Linked DNA regions of Sus scrofa. The protein of the gene in region 4 purifies or fractionates together with the protein of the main gene of each other region. This does not show direct contact. Links are inferred from orthologs where the notes say so. Each region holds a gene or a part of one and is shown on either strand. Other genes may lie near its edges.

The links. Proteins that work in one complex are often made in the same cells at the same time.
Region 1: the proteins of EXOC8 (region 4) and EXOC6 purify together in Homo sapiens (affinity purification with mass spectrometry; 4 studies listed by BioGRID and IntAct, counting the BioPlex papers as one, with this or other methods). This does not show direct contact. The link is inferred for Sus scrofa from reciprocal best matches to the Homo sapiens genes EXOC8 and EXOC6.
Region 2: the proteins of EXOC8 (region 4) and RALB purify together in Homo sapiens (affinity purification with western blotting; 6 studies listed by BioGRID and IntAct, counting the BioPlex papers as one, with this or other methods). This does not show direct contact. The link is inferred for Sus scrofa from reciprocal best matches to the Homo sapiens genes EXOC8 and RALB.
Region 3: the proteins of EXOC8 (region 4) and EXOC7 purify together in Homo sapiens (affinity purification with mass spectrometry; 4 studies listed by BioGRID and IntAct, counting the BioPlex papers as one, with this or other methods). This does not show direct contact. The link is inferred for Sus scrofa from reciprocal best matches to the Homo sapiens genes EXOC8 and EXOC7.

What each region holds. Positions count from the first base shown.
Region 1 is NC_010456.5:104,325,239-104,330,164, reverse strand, and holds the start of EXOC6 (exocyst complex component 6), read right to left. Parts: upstream 3,223-4,926; 5' UTR 3,140-3,222; coding exon 3,027-3,139; intron 1-3,026. UniProt on the Homo sapiens protein: Component of the exocyst complex involved in the docking of exocytic vesicles with fusion sites on the plasma membrane.
Region 2 is NC_010457.5:31,115,216-31,120,044, reverse strand, and holds the start of RALB (ras-related protein Ral-B), read left to right. Parts: upstream 1-1,607; 5' UTR 1,608-1,626; intron 1,627-4,829. UniProt on the Homo sapiens protein: Multifunctional GTPase involved in a variety of cellular processes including gene expression, cell migration, cell proliferation, oncogenic transformation and membrane trafficking.
Region 3 is NC_010454.4:5,329,744-5,334,716, forward strand, and holds the start of EXOC7 (exocyst complex component 7), read left to right. Parts: upstream 1-1,751; 5' UTR 1,752-1,849; coding exon 1,850-1,909; intron 1,910-2,099; coding exon 2,100-2,165; intron 2,166-4,303; coding exon 4,304-4,488; intron 4,489-4,683; coding exon 4,684-4,789; intron 4,790-4,973. UniProt on the Homo sapiens protein: Component of the exocyst complex involved in the docking of exocytic vesicles with fusion sites on the plasma membrane.
Region 4 is NC_010456.5:59,190,735-59,195,527, forward strand, and holds the start of EXOC8 (exocyst complex component 8), read left to right. Parts: upstream 1-1,610; 5' UTR 1,611-1,812; coding exon 1,813-3,996; 3' UTR 3,997-4,793. UniProt on the Homo sapiens protein: Component of the exocyst complex involved in the docking of exocytic vesicles with fusion sites on the plasma membrane.

The sequences.
Region 1 (4,926 bases), about 45 Mb from region 4:
ACACGCGCGCGTGCGTGCACACACACACACACACACACACACACACGCAATCAGAATAAATGCCCTGGATTCTTTGGTGCTTCAAGGGATGAAGTGTTCACCTGTGGTTGACAGATCAAGAGAGCTTTCACATGAAGAAGAAAGAACATTTGAGCTGTGCCTTGCATGATGGGCTGCGTTTTGGCAGGCAGAAGTAAGAGTGAGGGATCATAAGGGAAAGGAACCATGAGCACCACATGGAAGAAAATGAGGCATACTGTCAAATAGTAAACAAAACGGAAGTCCTGTCTTTATTTTCCTGCCTTCACATTTGACCATGTGAGCAGATATGTTCCATAAGAGCGGTGAAATAGAATAGTTGACACTGGAATATCAATGACATGCATAAGGATGTACAGAAAGGCATGGAATGCCAGCCTCAGAAAGCTTCATCTAATAAATTTTTTTTTTTTTTTTTTTTTTTTTTTTTGTCTCTTCTAGGGCCACAGCACATGGAGGTTCCCAGGTAGGGGTCCAATAGGAGCTGTAGCCACCGGCCTACGCCAGAGCCACAGAAATGCGGGATCTGAGCCGCATCTGTGACCTACACCACAGCTCACGGCAACACCAGATCCTCATAGCCCACTGAACGAGGCCAGGGATCGAACCTACGTCCTCACGGATGCTAGTTGGGTTCGTTAACTGCTGAGCCATGATGGGAACTCCGAAAAAATATTTTTTAAAAATTAGGAAAACTAATTTGGGCAAATATTGTCCTAAATAAAGGCTTGTTATGAACCCTGTGTGTATCTTCCAAAACAACATTGGAGTGTTGTTTTTTTTTGTTTTGTTTTGTTTTTTGTCTTTTTGCCTTTTCTAGGGCCATTCCCACAGCATATGGAGGTTCCCAGGCTAGGGGTTTAATCGGAGCTGTAGCCACCGGCCTACGCCAGAGCCACAGCAACACGAGATCCAAGCCATGTCTGCAACCTGCACCACAGCTCACGGCAACGCCGGATCCTTAACCCACTGAGCAAGGCCAGGGATCGAACCCGCAACCTCATGGTTCCTAGTCGGATTCGTTAACCACTGAGCCACGACAGGAACTCCAACATTGGAGTGTTTTAACAGTAGCCTTTGGAAAAGACTGCCCTCACTCCTTGTTCAATAACCCAAACATGAAGCTAACAGTGGGCATTCCAGGTCCAGTGGTAATGATAACAGGCAGCACCTGGAGGAAATATTTATGCAGTGTCTACCCTTGTGATGCTGGGAGGGTACTGGGACTGCTAGATCTAAACAGGTTCATTTCTTTAGGAAGACCAAGTATAAGCTTCTGGATATTTTCCCTCAGAACAGAGGATGGGACAGATCCAAGAACCAAAGCAAGAAGTCAGGTCCAGTACCAGGGCAAGACTAGCCGATAGTTCCAAGGATGGATGAAGTCTGTAGATGTTAGCCAGGATTGTGAGACCAAGGGAGAAGTAGAAAGGGTCAGGGGTCAAAGACTAAGGGCTCTGAAGCAGCAATGGCAGCAGAGGCCATGGTAATTAACACATGGCCAGGTTCCCTTTATCCCCTTCTCACATTTCCCTGTAGACTTCTGACCTAGCTGCCAGACAGATGCACAAGTTTTAGAAGATGCTAGACAGTATAAAGTCTGTTTCCTTTGGAAAAAATGACCAAGCCCTTGTGAAAAGCTTTGGTTTCTTCTACTTATTGAATAAGGTAAAAATTACCTGTCTTTTTTCATGGATGTCTACGATGCTCAAATAAAATGAAAGTGAAAAGAACAGTTATAATAGAGTTGTAATTATTTTGCAACCGCATCTACATGTTGATAATCCAAGAATCAACCAGTAAATACCATTAGCTTCCCATACCCCCAACATTACTTTAGGCCCTTTGGAAAGATTCAAAATTTATTTAATGCAAAATCAAATTGAAACATTCAGGAGAAATGTATTCAGACCGAAATTATAGAATTTCAAAGCATTTGACCCTGGATCTTTTTGAGAATGAAAAGACAACACCAAAAAAAAAAAAAAAAAGAAAGAAAAAGAAAAAAGAAAGAAATCCTTTCACTTAATCTACAAATATTAGTCAACAAATATTTATTGACTGTCACTATCCTGTTCCCACACTGATAGGTATCAGATAAAGGCAGACAGACAAATTTTTTTTTTCTTTTTAGGGCCACACCCACGGCATATGGCAAATCCCAGACTAGGGGTCTAATCGGAAATACAGCTGCCTGTGCTATAGCCATAGCAATGCCAGATCTGAGCCGCATCTGTGACCTACACCACAGCTCAAGGCAATGCCAGATCCTTAACTCACTGAGCGAGGCAGGGATCAAACCAGCAACCTCATGGCTCCTAGTCAGAATCATTTCAGCTGCACCACCACAGGAACTCCAAAATAATTAAACTTTAAAAGTGTCCATTTAGCACAGAGATACATGGTCTTTCATCTTAATCCTGCCCTTGAACTATGCATATTAATCCCCATCCTACCAAAGAAGTTATTTTTAAATCTTATGTAGAAATAAAAAAAAATACATCCAAGAGGCCACCATATACCCAAGAGCAACAACAATGCAAATAAGCATTCTGCGTTCTTCCCCTACAACTGACGTCCACACAAATATAAATGAGTTTCATTGATACATCTAATTGTTCTTGATGTTTTTCACTAGGCAACATCTTAGAGAAAATAATTGAAACCTGATATAAATAAGACGGAATATCCATCTGGAGTTGGCATGCGGCCCTTTTTGACCACTTGAAAGTCATTTCTATTTTTGGATCTTGTGATGATGAATCCTGAAACAAATACAATGCAAAAAAGTGGATTTTTTATTTATTGTCATTCATTTAAGGATAAAATTTTGAGATTAGGTATATAAAGAACTGTAACTATTTTTCAAAAATTATTTTTTATTCTTTATAAAAATAAGTATACAAAGAAGAAAAGTATAAAAAGAAGTGCATAAGACTACCTTATACCTACCAAAGAAGAAACCAGAAAATATAAAGGAGACTTACCTTAAAGTAGCTTCAATGGGCAGCTCGAAGGACTGGATCTCAGCCAGGACATTCTCATAGGTTTGATCTGCGTCCTCTTCCAACATTGCTCCTGATTTTCCAGCCACAGACATCAGATTTTCAGTGCAAAACAGTTGTAATTTATAAGAGAAATGTCGTTTTCCCTATAATTATGACAAGGGTTCTCTCTTCATCCAAAGTAGCAGCAAAAAACTGAGCTCACTGTCTGAGCTCATGCTATCAAAATCCTGGCTTCCAAGAATGTTGCACAGCTGTTGCTGTCCTGTCTCTGCTTATAACATTTTACTTATTATTAACCTTGACACAGTTCAGAAAGTTCCTGCCCAATGCCTGCTATATTTATTTGCTTGTTTCTCAAAGACAGTAACAGCAAACTTTGATAGGGATTAGAAAAATTACACTATAAAAAGTTATTAAATTACAACGGACTTGTTAGGGCACATATTTTAATGTTATTTATGCTAACTGCGCCATTAGAGCTATGCTCCTAATTATTCCTGCAACGACACCCTTGCCCACAAACCCAAGCAGTTAACTTACTCAGAAAAAATATGTGTGTAACAATCCTATAGGATATGATTTTGAGGTCACTGGACAAGCACCTTGGTTCCCCATCCCTGTCACTTGCCACCTTACTCACAAAGGTGTGACGTTCCTCCGTTAAAGAGCCATTCCTTTTTTTGTCTCCTGTTCAAAGACAGATGCTCCTGGAAATGGCTTAATTTTAATCCTTAAACCAGCCACTTATGCCTCACTGTGAATGAGTTTGCTAGATCCTTTCTGCAGGAGAGATTTTGATGTGGAGGGAGAAAGCACGAAGACGCCAGCATGTTAAGGGGGCTGGTTGCCACCGAGAGGAAAAAAGTGTGAAAGGAGTAGAGGCCTAAAATATAAAGGAAAAATGTGGAGACCAGCCAGCCAGTCCCAAGGAGGCCTAAAAAATTAAATGGATACATAATTCCCATTACCATTTGTACTAGATCTTCCTGAATTCTGAGTTTAACCTCATGCTTTCTTGCCCAGTACTGGAAAGAGAGGGAGGACTAGTGACATTCTTCTGTATGAATCTATTTTTTTAAGTTTTTATCAGATTTGTTAATATTGTTCTGAAAAGAAACGGGAAGTTCTTTCTCCTCAAAATGTAATATTCATATAACCACAGGCATGCTTCATAAACTGCATCAGTTTTTCACTTCTCTGTGCACCCTTACACTTGTCAGTGCCACACTGAGTGTCCCTCCATGCCCCAGGGCTTTGGGCTTAGCCCTGTGACTTCTGCAGGCCAGTGATACATGACAGTTTGTGAGCTCCAGGCCTGGGCTTTGTAAGGCCTCTCTTGCTGCTGTTTGCCCTCTTACACCTCTACCATCACCTGAGAAAAATATTCCCGGCTAGCTTGCTGGTCCAAGGAGGATGAGACATACAGGAAGCAGAGTCATTGCCACTGATCCACAAAAATGCAGGGAGAAGCATAGTTTTGCATCTAGCTGCAGCAGTCTGAAGCAGAGGCACCCACCCCAGCCATGCCCCAAATACTCACAGACACAGGAGCAATGACGAATGATGGTTCTTTTCAGCCACTGAGTGATGGGTTGGTTATATGTGCTAGTAGCAAACTAATCCAGCAGTCTTCACCTCAACCCCACCAATACCTTCAACTCTTAGCCCTAGTTTTCCTCCAATGGCAGGATGGCAGAAATGCATCAGGAATATGCCTAACACTATTTCCCCCAAGAGGGAGTGATGGTGCCTGCCTTCAAGACCTGACACAAAACAGTGATTTTCTATCTTGTGTTAAAGCCATTTATGTGCAACGTTTTTAATTTATGCCAAATTATCAGACTATGCAAGAAAAGAATGTCTATTTGATTTGTATTTG
Region 2 (4,829 bases), on a different chromosome or scaffold from region 4:
GGTGTCTATGAAGTTGGACGAGGAGAACATGAGCTGGCAAGGGGTGGGGCATAGCCATAATGAAGACTTATTACTTAATGACCGGATAGACTTGTCCTCATTTCATGGAGATAACTCTTGGTAAACTATGACGGCAGAAAGATAAGTGCGGCTCATTCAACACTTCAAAACAGAAAGGAATCTTTTTGTGGGGTGGGGGGGAGTCTTACCAGTGGCATGCGAAAGTTCCCAGGCCAGGCAGCAGCGACAACACCTAATCCTTAACTGCTAGGCCACCAGGGAACTCGGAGAGGAATTCTTTCCTTCTTTCTTCCTTCCTTTCTCTCTCTCTCTCTCTCTCTCTCTCTCTCCCTTCCTTCCTTGTCTTTTTAGGGCTTCCCCTGTGCCATATGGAAGTTCCCAGGCTAAGGGCAGAATTGGAGCTGCAGCTGCCGGCCTGCACCACAGACACACAACTTGGGCTCGAGATCCAAGCCTCAGCTACCATCTACACCACAGTTCACGACAAGGTAGGATCTTTAACTCACTGAGTGAGGCCAGGGATCGACCCTGAGTCCTCATGGATACTAGTTGGGTTCGTTACCACTAAGCCACAACAGGAACTCCTCATTTGTTTCTAATGTGTTACCCAAGTTGATTAATTTCTTTTAGAAGAAGAAAGCTCATTCTCTAGCTAATGACGTGGACCTCTGCTTTCCCAGAAGAACAATTCCTGGGAATATCTGGTTAGTTCCTGCTGCCTGGCTGGGGCTGGTGAGATGACATAGAAAGGGAGTAACGCAGAGAGAGAAGCTCTCAATAAAACACTTAGCAGAAAGTGGTTGAGAAAAGGCCCAGTAAGTCTTTTTCAAGTGGCCATAAATAATCGAGCACCAAAGTCAAGAGCCGGAATGTGGCTGGGAATAAGAAAGCGCCAGCGCTTTTCTTGGTAGCTGCCAGCAAGAGGCTTCAAGAAAGGAAGTCAGAGGGATATTCCCCAGGCTTTGGGGAGGCTCCAAGAAAGCATCACCCTTACCTGGTGCCTTGGGTGAGAACTCAGGAGTCTGAACCTTTGCCAGCCCCAGCCAGGAAGGGAAAAGTCACGCCATCCTAGTAGTGTGAGTTAAAGACCTCCGGTCCTCAGAGTTCCCATTGTGGTTCAGTGGGTTAAGAGCCTGACACAATGTCTGTGACAGTGTGGGTTTGCAGTGGGTCGGGGATCTGGCATTGCCATGAGCGGCGATGTAGGTCACAGATATGGCACGGATCTGGCGTTGCTGTGGCTGTGGTATAGGCTGGCAGCTGCAGCTCTGATTTGACCCCTGGCCCGGGAACTTCCATATGCTGCAGGTGTGCCCCCCTCAAAAAAAAAAAAGATCTCTGGTCCTCCCCTAAATCCTTCCCCTAGCCTAAGACCTCAAGTTTCAGTTTCGGATGATGCAAATGCCCAGGAAGGAGTGGGTACCCACTGAGCTGTCTTTAGCCCTTTATTCCTATGTGCGGATGAACCCATGAGGCTGTTCCTGAGAACAGGAGGAGCTGGCAGGAAGCGCCGGACACTGAGGGCTGGAGAAACAGAGAGGGAGATGACCAAGAAGAACCCTAAGGAGTCTTGCTGTTTATAGTGGATTCTCCCTATAACCATTGGTAGGTAAGAATGACTTCTTTTCATCTGTAGATCGGTGGCTCCCCCTCTTTCCTCCCTTCCTTCCTTCTTTCCTTTCTCTCTCTCTTCCTTCCTTCCTTCCTTCCTTCCTTCCTTCCTTCCTTCCTTCCTTCCTTCCTTCCTTCTTTCTTTCTTTCTTTCTTTCTTTCTTTCTTTCTTTCTTTCTTTCTTTCTTTCTTTCTTTCTTTCTTTCCTTTCTAGGGCTGCACCTGCAGCATATGGAAAAGGCTAGGCAGCTGCTGGACAACATCATAGCCTCAGCAATGTGGGATCTGAGCCATGTCCATGACCTACACCACAGCTCATGGCAATGCCTGATCTTTAACCCACTGAGTGAGGCCAGGGATGGAACCTGCAACCTCATGGACACTAGTCACGTTTGTTACCGCTGAGCCATGACGAGAACTACCCCCCTCTTTTTTCTAATCCAGATGGTCACCAAGTATCAAATGCCTGCAGGGATAATTGGAGCTTGTCAGACTCTTTCTAATAATACCGTCTATTTATATCATCCTGCCAGCTCGTGGGAGCAAGTCTCATATGCTGGCTGATGTTCTAGGAAATTGGCCAGCTGCCCTCTCACATCCTCCCCTGTTCTGCCTGGCTTTTGAGCACCTATCTCCTGGGGTCAAAGCACCTCTAGAGCTCCCACCTTCCAGCCGCTGGGATTGGCAGAAGGACCTTCTGTTTAGTCTTCAGTGCTTTTGCTCCCTTCCTTCTGCAATCTCCCCAGATCTCCAATTAATCAAGGGCAGATTACAACACTGCCAGGCTCTACCCCTGTGGGCCCCACTTTGCTTGGACCCCCAGAACAACCTTCCAACATCCACGTCCACTCCCACATTTGCCCCTTACAGGCCACTCTCCACACAATAGCCAGGGTGGTCTTTCTTTCTTTCTTTCTTTTTTTTTTTTTTTTTTTTTTTTGTAAGTCCGCACCCATGGCATGAAGAGGTTCCTGGGCTGGGGATCCAACTGGAGCTATAGCTGCCAGTCTACACCACAGCCACAGCAACGCGGGATCTGAGCCATGTCTGCGAACTACAGTGCAGCTTGTGGCAATGTCAGATCCTTTACTCAGTGAGCAAGGTCAGGGATCAAACCCATATCCTCATGGATGTTATGTAGTTCTTAACCCGCTGAACCACAACAGGAACTCCTAAAGTCACTTGTAATGGCACACCATTTGTAATGACCTAGTTGCTTGTCTGTTGGTTCTCTTGTCTGAGTTAGCCATCACCATATCCCTAGCTTGGTACCCATTAGGGCCTGACATCAGTCAGAGCAGACTAAGCTGTGCAGCAGCAACAAAAGACTTCCAAATCTTAGTGTCTTCAAATCACAGAGTTTGTTTCTCAATCACATAAATGTCTGTCACAGGTTAGTGGTGGACCGGGGCTGGGGGGTGGGGGGCACTGTGTTCATTGCAGGGGCCCAGGCTGATGGGGCCCCCATACGTTCCCAGTACCATACCATGCAGATGAGAGCTCTGAAGGGTCTCCCATGGACAGATAAATTCTCCCACCCCCAAATGATTTGTGTATCATGTCTGCTTCCAAGTCATTGGGTCCCATAGAGTCACCCACCTACAGGGAGCAAGAAGTTCAAGACTGTCTAGGGCCAGGAAAGAGAAGTGGAAATATTCGCCAAACAGTAGTCCAGACTCACTCAATACTCAGTCAGTACTTTTGAAGGAGCAAGCATCTAGTATGTTCTTTCTACAGCTGCAGTGGGTTAGAGCGACCTTACAGGGTCCTGCTGGGGCTCTTGTATTCTTGCTGTTCAGGCTGCTGCTCTGCAGGGAGTCAGAGTTCCCTCAGGAGAAGCTCAGCAGACAAGGGTGTCCTCTGAGATCTGAGAGGAGCAGTCCCAGAGGCTGTGGTTCATCCCCAGATGGGGATATGTTCCGGGTCTGTGTCCTTTGTGAGACAACTCTTCCAAGTGCCCTGCCAGTCCCCTCTGAGACAGCCTCACTTAGCTAGGGTCTGGCATGTGCAAGAGCTGAACAGATGACCCTCTTGGCCGAGTCCCAGTGGAATCCCTGGGTGGGGGGCGGGGAGGGCTGAGGCAGGTAGGCAGGTGGTTGGGTGGGGATGGGATGTGGAGAGTAAGGGCATCATTTTTGAGACCTAATGCGCCCTGTTACTAGTCATAGGAATGGCAGTTATACACCCCAGGAATGGTAAGAAAACCACCTGTGACTGCTGTAGGTCCTAGGGGTATGGGGACAGGAAAATGCTGGTGGTCATCCAGGGCCCTGATGCTGTTCCCTAACCTGTCCGTTTCGTTAGGGCAGGCCGCAGTAAGCCCTTCCCGGGTCTGAACTTGCATTTGATCAAATGGCATTGCCACAGCGTGTCCTTTCTACCAGGCCATACACGGTGCTGTAGTGGGAGGAAATGCTCTCCCTAGGTGGTTATAATAAGCTCGTGTCCATCTTGGCTTTGGGTGGCAACACAATGGAAGCTAATGTTTGCTGAGCACCCATCAAGTTCCCAGCACTATGCCAAGTGCTTTATATGTCATTGCATGTAAATCATCACACCTGCAGTGCGCAGGTGCTGCTCCTGTTGGGCAGCTGGGGAAACCAAGGCCTGCAGTGGTTAACTTCCTAATTAAGACACTGTTAGTTCTATGGCAGAGCCCTCCTTTAAACCTCTGCTTCCTGATTCCAAACCTGTGCACTTAATCGTTATCCGTAGGAATAGACTTTCATCTGATTCCCCTTCTAGGTCATTCATACTGGAGAACTTCCTTTCTGAGGAGCCTCCTACCTTCTCCCTTAACAGTACCTAGCAGAGTTTCTCATATACTTAGCAGGCAATATAAGTCTTTAATGTATATGGGGAAGGTCAAATAGAATACTTAAGATCCTAGGCTAAACTAGCAGAGTCTGGTGATATGGTCTTTGATAAGCCTGTTACTTAAAACTAAGTTAATGCTTCTGTGCTTTTTGATATTGCTCTTTGTAGAGGGTCTGGATCTGTTAGTTGCTTATACACAGCGATTTAATCAGAGTACAAAGCCTTTCCTGTAATACATGCAGCACCCTGATGTATAATTATCAACAAGGAAAGAATTAATTACACAGTGCTAGCTGCTGTGGATATCGAATTGAACAAGAGATGGCTTCCATCCCTAGAGATTATGGAGGCAGGCATTTAAACAATTAATTGCCATATAG
Region 3 (4,973 bases), on a different chromosome or scaffold from region 4:
TTCATGTGATGGATTATCTTAGTTTATTTTCAAATGTTGAACCAGCCTTACACACTTGAAATAAATCCCATGTAGTCATGATGTATACTTTATTTTTATACATGTTGGATTCTATTTGCTAACATTTTGAGTATTTTTGCATTTGTATTCATGAGAGATATTGGATTATAGTTTTTCTTTCTTATAATGGAACTAGGAAGTTACCAAACTAAAGAACAGTGTGTGAGGAGTTCCCATCGTGGCTCAGTGGAAACGGATCCGACTAGCATCCATGAAGACGCAAATTCAATCCCTGGCCTCGATCAGTGGGTTAAGGATCTGGCATTGCCGTGAGCTGTGGTGTAGTCGCAGATGAGGCTGGGATCCTGCGTTGCTGTGGCTGTGATGTAGGCCAGCAGCTGTAGCTCTGATTGGACCCCTAGCCTGGGAACCTCCATATGCTACAGGTGCAGGGGCCGCCCCCCCAAAAAAAAACAGGCTGTGAAGGGAGCAAGCTCTTGCTTCCTCCCTATCCCCCACCCCCCAGAAAGAGCATCCCTGAGAGTTGGGCAGTTGGGGCCTCTAGGCGACCCTCACATTTGTGCTCTGAACAAGTTTGGGAATGAAAGCCAAGCAACCGAGGCTGCAGCTGAAACACCGCTTTCTCCTTTGGCTGAAGCAGCTTGTGCTGAGTATAGTTAGGGAATCACAGCTTTTACCAAATCAGTGTCCACTGCCAACAGCATGTGCCTGACATTGGGCTGGGAATCACCGAAACTGGTCTTTTCATTCTTTTATTTATTTATTTAATTTTTCTTCTTTTGGTCTTTTTAGGGCCGCACCCACAGTATATGGAGGTTCCCAGGCTCGGGGTCGGGGACAGAGTGCTCACCCATGGCCCCAACAGCATCTGAAACCATAATCCTGACTTGTGAGCCACCCAGCCCGGCCAGGGTGTCTGCTTTGGAGAGGGCTGTGTGGTTTTACTGGCGGGGTTGGTGAGGACCAGGCTGTGGGTAGAGAACTATAAGTCTGCAAACAGTGCAAGGCGAAGCCTGAGAGATCTGAGACCTGTCTAAGGGCTTGGGGCCCAGGGTGGTGGTGTCCTTAGGGAGAGACTGAGGCATGCATGCATTCAGACACACGGGGAGCATTTCTCACGGGCCTTGGAGGAAATCAGAAAGCCTTGGTTCCTGCGGCTGCCGGAATGTCTCAACTCCTTGGCGGGGTCTCCTCTAAATACAGCTTGGGGGCGTGGCCGGGGGTGGGGTTGGGAGAGGGTAGGGGACTGGTTCAAGGTTACTGCAGGTACGTATGCTCTGGATCCACTGCAAAACCTAGTTACTTGCACACTGGGCCTGTTCCGTGAGCTTTTAGGGCCAAAGAGGGACACTACACAGGTCCTTGGTTCATTAAATGGGCACAATTGGGTATCTAGTGTGTGACAAGCTCTGTGCTGCGTTTTGTGGGAAAGGCGACATTGGTGCCTGGATTCAGACTTCGATCTGGAGAAAGGAGTTCGTCATTGATTTTGTGAAAGGCGTAAACCTTCCCCCGAAGACGGCCAAGTGAGCTGTTACTGTTCTGCCAGCGACAGGACAAAACACCACCCAAGAACCTTCTCTGATGAGAACAGCAATCCCTTCACCTAGGAGAATCCAGGCCACACCTCCCTGCCACACTCAAGATGGCCACTCCAGACCGCTGTACTGAGTTCTACGCAGGCGCACTTCCACCTGCCACTCCCAATATGGCACCACTAGCGCGCCCCGGGGCGGGGCCACGGGCGGAAGTAGGTGTGACAGGAACGGGAGCCGAGAGGGTCAGCTGGGACGAGGTACTGGGCAGTGGGAGTCGCAGAGTCGAAGCCATGATCCCCCCGCAGGAGGCGTCCGCCCGGCGGCGGGAGATCGAGGACAAGCTGAAGCAGGTGGGGCTGGCACTGGGAGGCGGGGGAGGGGAAGGGGCCGAGATCCGGGCCAGGCATCCACTCAGGGAGGCGTCAGGAGTGGGAAGGGGACACTCCCTGCCAGGAGACTGAGTAGGGGGCGAGACCACGGGAGCGGTGAGCTCCTTTAGCCTCCGGCTTCTGGTGATGTCCTCCTTTGCGCTCCCCCCAGGAGGAGGAGACGCTGTCCTTCATCCGAGACAGTCTGGAGAAGAGCGACCAGCTCACCAAGAACATGGTGAGTAACCCCTCCTCAGCTGGGGGGGCTTCCAGGCGCTGGAGGAGACCCTGCGACCCGGTCGTGCCTGGACCTAAGGGCTGGGGTTCTGGTCTGGGTAGTGACAGCCGTGACGCGTGGGTTTCTCCCGCAGCAGTGTGGCACGTCTCTTACCCCTTGTCAGCCCCTTGGCCTCAGATGCTGCAGTCCCCGCTGGCCTGGACTTTCTGATCTCTGCCTAAGTTCTCCATGCTTCCTTCTCTCCTCTGCAAACACTTAGTGAGACTGACCTAAGTGGGTTGGATGCTGGCCATGTGTCACCCTCAATTCAAGTGAGGGTAGGATGGCCAGGTTACCACTTCTTTTTTTTTTTTTTTGTCTTTTGTCTTTTTGTTTTTGTTGTTGTTGTTGTTATTGTTGCTATTTCTTGGGCCGCTCCCGCGGCATATGGAGGTTCCCAGGCTAGGGGTCCAATCGCAGCTGTAGCCACCGGCCTACGCCAGAGCCACAGCAACGCGGGATCCGAGCCGCGTCTGCAACCTACACCACAGCTCACGGCAACGCCGGATCGTTAACCCACTGAGCAAGGGCAGGGACCGAACCCGCAACCTCCTGGTTCTTAGTCGGATTCGTTAACCACTGCGCCACGACGGGAACTCCATTTTTTTTTTTTTTTAACGCAGTGAATTTTATTACGTTTATAGTTGTACAACGATCATCACAACCAAATTTTATAGCATTTCCATCCCAAACCCCCAGCCCATCCCTCCACCCCCAACCTGTCTCCTTTGGCAACCGTAAGTTTTTCCAAGTCTGCGAGTCAGCATCTGTTCTGCAAAGAAGTTCATTGTGTGCTTTTTTTAGATTCCACACATAAGTGAGAGCATTTGATGTGGGTGTCTCACTGTCTGACTCACTTCACGTAGCATGATCATTTCTAGGTCCATCCATGTTGTTGCAAATGCCGTTCTTTCTTTCCTTTTAACGGCTGAGTAATATTCCATGGTGTATATGTACCACATCTTCGTTATCCACTCCTCTGTCCATGGACATTTAGGTTGTTTCCATGTCTTGGTTATTGTGTATAGTGCTGCAGTGCACATTGGAGTACAAGTATCTTTTCGAGTCATGGTTTTCTCTGGATAGATGCCCAGGAGTGGCAGGTTACCCCTTCTGAGATTACTGACTCACCTTTCACTCCAGAGGGCTTGAGGGGTAAAATGAGCTCTGAAGTCAGATCTGGGATCTAGTCCTTGCCCCTCCACTTGTCCGCGTATAGCTTGCTGACAGGTAACTCTGATCCTCAGTTAACTTGTCAGCTGAAACAGAGATGATGCCAGCCTCCCATAGCTCTGAAGGTCACAGAAGCTAGTGCAAAGGGACGTGTCAATAAGTATGAGTTTCTTCCTTATTCCTAGAGGAGACTGGAAAAACATAGGCTGTTTAGTAACACAGTCAGCAACTGCTAGTTCTTTCTTTTTTTCTTTTTGTCTTTTCTAGGGCCGCTCCTGTGGCACATGGAGGTTCCCAGGCTAGGGGTCGAATCGGAGCTGCAGCTGCTGGCCTACCCACAGCCACAGCCACAGCCACACCAGATCCCAGCCTCATCTGCGACCTACACCGCAGCTCATGGCAACGCCGGATCCTTAACCCACTGAGCAAGGCAGGGACCGAACCCGCAACCTCATGGTTCCTAGTCAGATTCGTTAACCACTGCGCCATCACGGGAACTCCTGCTAGTTCTTATTTAATGAGATTCACCCTTAGAAAGGGTTAGGAAGGTACCAGCAATGCATTTGAGGCTACTCTGTATGAAACTACTTCCTGTTCAGTCTAGAACGCTCCAGAGAGAATAGAAATTGAGCTTTGGCTTCGGAGGGTGGACGAGAAGCATTCTGAAGTGATTATCTGCGGAGGAATTAATTTCATGCCTGGCTTGCCTTCACATTAATTGATGTGGGCTACCTCCTGTGTGCCGGGCACGCGGTAGCTGCTGGGGATTCAGTGGGGAAGAGATGTCCCCCGTCCCTTCCCTCATGGGCCTGGTTGTCTAGAAAACCGTAGAAAAAGGCAGCAAATGCCAAAGACCCGGTGGGTGGCAGAAGCGGCTTGGGGACCACCCGGCGGTCTGCGAGCACGGGGCTGCCCTCCCCCTGCAGGTGTCTATCCTGTCGTCCTTTGAGAGTCGCCTCATGAAGCTGGAGAATTCCATCATCCCCGTGCACAAACAGACGGAGAACCTGCAGCGGCTGCAGGAGAATGTTGAGAAGACGCTGTCCTGTCTGGACCACGTCATTAGCTACTACCATGTGGCCAGTGACACTGAGAGGATCATCAGGGAGGGGTGAGCCAGGGCCGGAGGGTCACCTGCCTAACGCCTCCGGGCCAGCCACCCCAGGCCTTGGAAGGGGGGGTAGAACGTATTTGAACCTTGGGTCGCCTGGGTGAATTCTCTTCTCCCCTGTCCAGGTATCATTCCTGGGGCCCTCCCTCTTCATCTTCCACCTGCCCAGGCTGATCCAGCTCTTTTCCTTTCCAGCCCCACAGGGAGGCTGGAGGAGTACCTGGGAAGCATGGCCAAGATTCAGAAGGCTGTGGAGTATTTCCAGGACAACAGCCCAGACAGCCCAGAGCTCAACAAAGTGGTAAGAGGCCAGCAGAGTGATGTGACAGGTTTGGGGACACCAGTCCCTGCCATGGTCTCAGGAGAGACCCTGGATCAGCTTAAAGGAGAATGTAAGAGATAGAACAGAAACATAGAGTATACGACACGCATGGTGGGCACTCAGAGCTCCATCTCAGGAATTACAGATAGACCTTTCCATTACA
Region 4 (4,793 bases):
CCATCCCAAATCTGTAATTCACCGAATGTACACAGGAGGGAATCAAACAGGAGAGAGCAAATCCTTACACGTTCTTGGGTGGTTCAGGCTGAGGGCGAACTCCATGGCAGATGGCCTTCCTGAAAATAGACCCTCTTTGCTGAGAGATGCTTGCAACTCCGCGGGGTCAGGGAGAAATGGGAACAGCAGTGGCCTCCCTTACTCTAACCAGGCAGCTCAAAGATAATCCCATCCTGCTGCTGCCTGTCCTCTCCCTAAAAGGTGTAATCAACCAGTCTGTGGTGGAAAGGGCCAGATCTCCACTAGTGTTCCTCCGAAATTATAATTATATATGAAGGAGAACTGTGCTTTCAACGCAACTTCATATCATATCTTAACTCCTTATTCTAGGTGGTTTTGTATCAATTCAAAAACTAGCAGGTAGTGTTCAGCTACACCTTAAACTTGTTAACTCCGTTGGTGTACAGGAGTCGTTTATTTCAAAAGGGGTTTTCTCCAACTCAGCGGGTAAGAAAAGGGTCCTTTCACAGGGCTCCCGGAAGACCCCCGCGTCCCAAAGTTATGGAAACATAGACCCCTTCCCAAGCTGACACACGGCTCACTGCAAGGCAGCGGCGCCGTAAAGACCACAGCTGAGGACAGCACACTTCCCGGCGCCCTCAGCATCTTTAGGGGCCGATTCTGGCTGTTTCTCCCTCCTGGGTCCTAGATCAGAAAGGGGAAAGGGGTGAACTCATTTTCCTGGAAACTGAGAAACATCCTTCTCTCTCACTGTGTTCCTTACCGGTCAGATCGCCGCGGGGTGGGCCACACGGCTTTCTGAGAGCTAACCAAGGGCAGTGAGAGAGGAAGGAAGGGAAGGGAGAGGAAGCCCGAGAACGGCTGGCTGTCCCTAGACCCGACCCGGGTCACTGCCCCGGCGCCGGGGCAGCGGAAGGGCCGCCAGCTGTCCGGTCCCGGCGGGCTCGGCACTCACAGCGTCATCCGCACGCTCCACTTCACTTCCACCGCCTCCAGTTTGCCCCAGAAGAAACGATCGTTGAACTGCACAAACAGGGCCTGCAAATCCGGCGTGGGGTCCACCAACTCCCAGGACGCGTCCACCAGCGACAGGGGCTCCTGGGCCGGATTGCGCTCCGAGACCTGCAAGTTCCACTCTTCCTGAAGCCGAAGAGCCAGAACCAGGTCCTCATCCATGGCTGCCCGGCTACCAGGCGGAGTCCAGATGGCTCAGAGAGCCTAGCCGTGCTCCTAGGAGATACCAGCTCCCAGGCCACTCTCGGGTCAGGCCACAGATCTCGCGAGACCTAGTAAACTCCGGCTCGAGAAAGAGAACCGAGCGTGCCCCGAACTCCAGTCAAGATTCTAGGGCTTAAAACAACAAAGAAAATTCAGCATGACACCTCCTAGTGGGCTCAACACTTGGGTTCCCGAAGCTTGAGCCCGAGGAAGGTTTCAAGTAGCCGGATACCGCCTTTACGGTTCGCGGGTACGGTCAAACATCAACGTCATGCTCGGCCCATGCGCAGTATCTACACCTCGCTGCTCCGCCCTCCACTCGCTTCCGCAGGAGCTTCTCCGGCGCATGCGCCCTAGGCCACTGGCGACCCTGCGCCGGCGCGCTGTTTGCGAGGGGCATCTTGCGCAGGCGCAGTGTCCGGACTTCAGACCCGGGCGCAGGCGTACTCGCCTGTCTTCCATCCTGCTTCCTCAGCCCTGGACTCGGCCGGGTTGGGTGGGCCTCGACAGTGGCGGCGGCGGCAGCGGCGGCGGTAGTAATAGTGACAGTGACTACGTGAGTCCCCGACGGAAATGGCGATGGCGATGTCAGACAGTGGGGCGAGCCGCCTGCGGCGGCAGCTGGAGTCGGGCAGCTTCGAGGCGCGGCTGTACGTGAAGCAGCTCTCGCAGCAGTCGGACGGGGACCGGGACCTGCAGGAGCACCGGCAGCGCATCCAGGCGCTGGCGGAGGAGACGGCGCAGAACCTGAAGCGTAACGTCTACCAGAACTACCGGCAGTTCATAGAGACGGCCCGCGAGATCTCCTACCTGGAGAGCGAGATGTACCAGCTTAGCCATCTGCTGACCGAGCAGAAGAGCAACCTGGAGAGCATCCCGCTCACCCTGCTGCCGGCCGCCGCCGCAGCCGCTGCTGGGGCCGCCACCGCCTCCGGAGGGGAGGAGGGTGGAGGCAGCGCGGGGGGCCGCGATCACCTCCGGGGCCAGGCTGGCTTTTTCCCAAGTCCCGGGGGCGCCTCCCGCGACAGTTCTGGTCCGGGCGAGGAAGGGAAGCAGCGCACTCTTACCACTCTGCTGGAGAAGGTGGAAGGCTGCAGGCACCTGCTGGAGACGCCGGGACAGTACCTGGTGTACAACGGGGACCTGGTGGAATACGAGGCGGATCATATGGCCCAGTTGCAGCGAGTGCACGGCTTTCTCATGAACGACTGTTTGCTGGTGGCCACCTGGTTGCCACAGCGGCGGGGGATGTATCGCTACGACGCCCTCTATCCCCTGGATGGTTTGGCCGTAGTCAATGTCAAGGACAATCCCCCCATGAAGGACATGTTCAAGTTGCTAATGTTTCCCGAGAGTCGTATTTTTCAGGCGGAAAATGCAAAAATCAAACGCGAGTGGCTGGAAGTGTTGGAGGAAACCAAGAGGGCCCTCAGTGAGAAAAGACGCAGGGAGCAGGAGGAGGCAGCGGCCCCTCGAGGGCCACCCCAAGTGACTTCCAAGGCCAGCAACCCGTTTGAAGATGAAGACGACGACGAACCAGCTGTTCCTGAGGCGGAAGAAGAGAAGGTGGACCTCTCAATGGAATGGATCCAGGAATTGCCCGAAGACCTGGATGTTTGCATCGCCCAGAGGGACTTTGAAGGGGCCGTTGACCTGCTGGATAAGTTGAACCAGTACCTGGAAGATAAGCCCAGTCCACCTGCTGTAAAAGAACTGAGGGCCAGAGTGGATGAGCGTGTCCGCCAGCTCACCGAGGTGCTGGTTTTTGAACTCTCCCCGGATCGGTCCCTGAGAGGCGGTCCCAAGGCTACGCGTCGGGCCGTTTCTCAACTAATCCGGCTTGGCCAGTGCACTAAGGCTTGCGAGCTGTTCTTGAGAAACAGGGCAGCAGCTGTGCATACCGCAATCCGCCAGCTTCGCATCGAGGGTGCCACCTTACTCTATATTCACAAGCTCTGCCACGTCTTCTTCACCAGCCTTCTCGAGACGGCCAGGGAGTTTGAGGCGGACTTCGCAGGCACCGACGGGGGCTGCTACTCGGCCTTCGTGGTCTGGGCGAGGTCAGCCCTGGGCACGTTTGCGGCTGCCTTTAGCAAACAGGTGTTCGACAGTAAGGAGAGCCTCTCCACTGCAGCTGAGTGTGTGAAGGTGGCCAAGGAGCATTGTCAGCAGCTGGGTGACATCGGGCTAGACCTCACCTTCATCATCCACACCCTCCTGGTGAAAGACATCCAGGGGGCCTTGCACAGCTACAAGGAAATCATCATCGAAGCCACTAAGCATCGCAACTCAGAGGAGATGTGGAGGAGGATGAACTTGATGACTCCAGAGGCCCTGGGTAAACTCAAAGAGGAGATGAAGAGCTGTGGGGTGAGGAACTTTGAGCAGTACACGGGGGATGACTGCTGGGTGAACCTGAGTTACACGGTGGTGGCTTTCACCAAACAGACCATGGGCTTCTTGGAAGAGGCGCTGAAGCTGTATTTCCCGGAGCTGCACATGGTGCTGTTGGAGAGCCTGGTGGAAATCATTTTGGTTGCTGTTCAGCATGTGGATTACAGTCTTCGGTGTGAGCAGGATCCAGAGAAGAAGAATTTTATCAGACAGAATGCATCCTTTCTGTACGAAACAGTCCTGCCTGTGGTGGAGAAAAGGTTTGAGGAAGGTGTGGGGAAACCCGCCAAGCAACTTCAGGACCTGAGAAATGCATCGAGACTGATTCGTGTGAATCCCGAAAGTACAACGTCAGTGGTCTGACACCTGGACCTGTTTATGTGTATACGTATATATGGCTTATATATATTATTTATATTTATATTAAGTTGCATTAGCGTATTCTTTATAGTCTCAAACACAGCCTAAAAATAAAAGATGCCTTCTCAGAAATGCGAAAATCAAAAGGAGATTGAAAAACATGTTAAACCCACGTAACAAAAACATTGAATTAGTAGAACATACAATATGCTTTCCTTTTAAATTATGCTAACTCTCTAATGACTATATATCGTCACACCAGAGCATTTCAACTTGTGTTTTGAAAGTTTCCCAGTTCACTAGGTTTCTTAAAGGGCACAGTGCCATTCCTGCCTCGTGTACTTCTGCACCTTAAAATGTGGTTGAACAATTTGGGGAAAAGAAAGGAGGAGTTGAGAAAACTGGTTTCAGGGTAAATTTTGGTCAACAGAATTCCTTCATGAAGGTAGCTGGCGTGTGGACTTACTCCAATCCCTGTAGAAGCTGTCATACAAGCAGTTCAGCAAATACTTCCATCATAATTTAAATGGCCCATTATTGTCTGCTGTTAATTAGCATCATTTTAATACTTGATTTGGGAGCATTTACTTGAAAGTCTTAACAACATACTTTTTTTGTTTTGTGGTTTTTTTTAAACGTGTTCCTGAGTTGTCAAGTTCCAGCTGGAGCTTCTGTCTTTATCATATTAAAAAAAAAAAAAAAGAAGAAAAATAACAAAGGGCACACTGAGGGTCTGGCAGCAGCCAGTGATTTTAGCTGTCTGGATCCCCTTTCAGTGTGGGTTACATATAGGGGCTTGG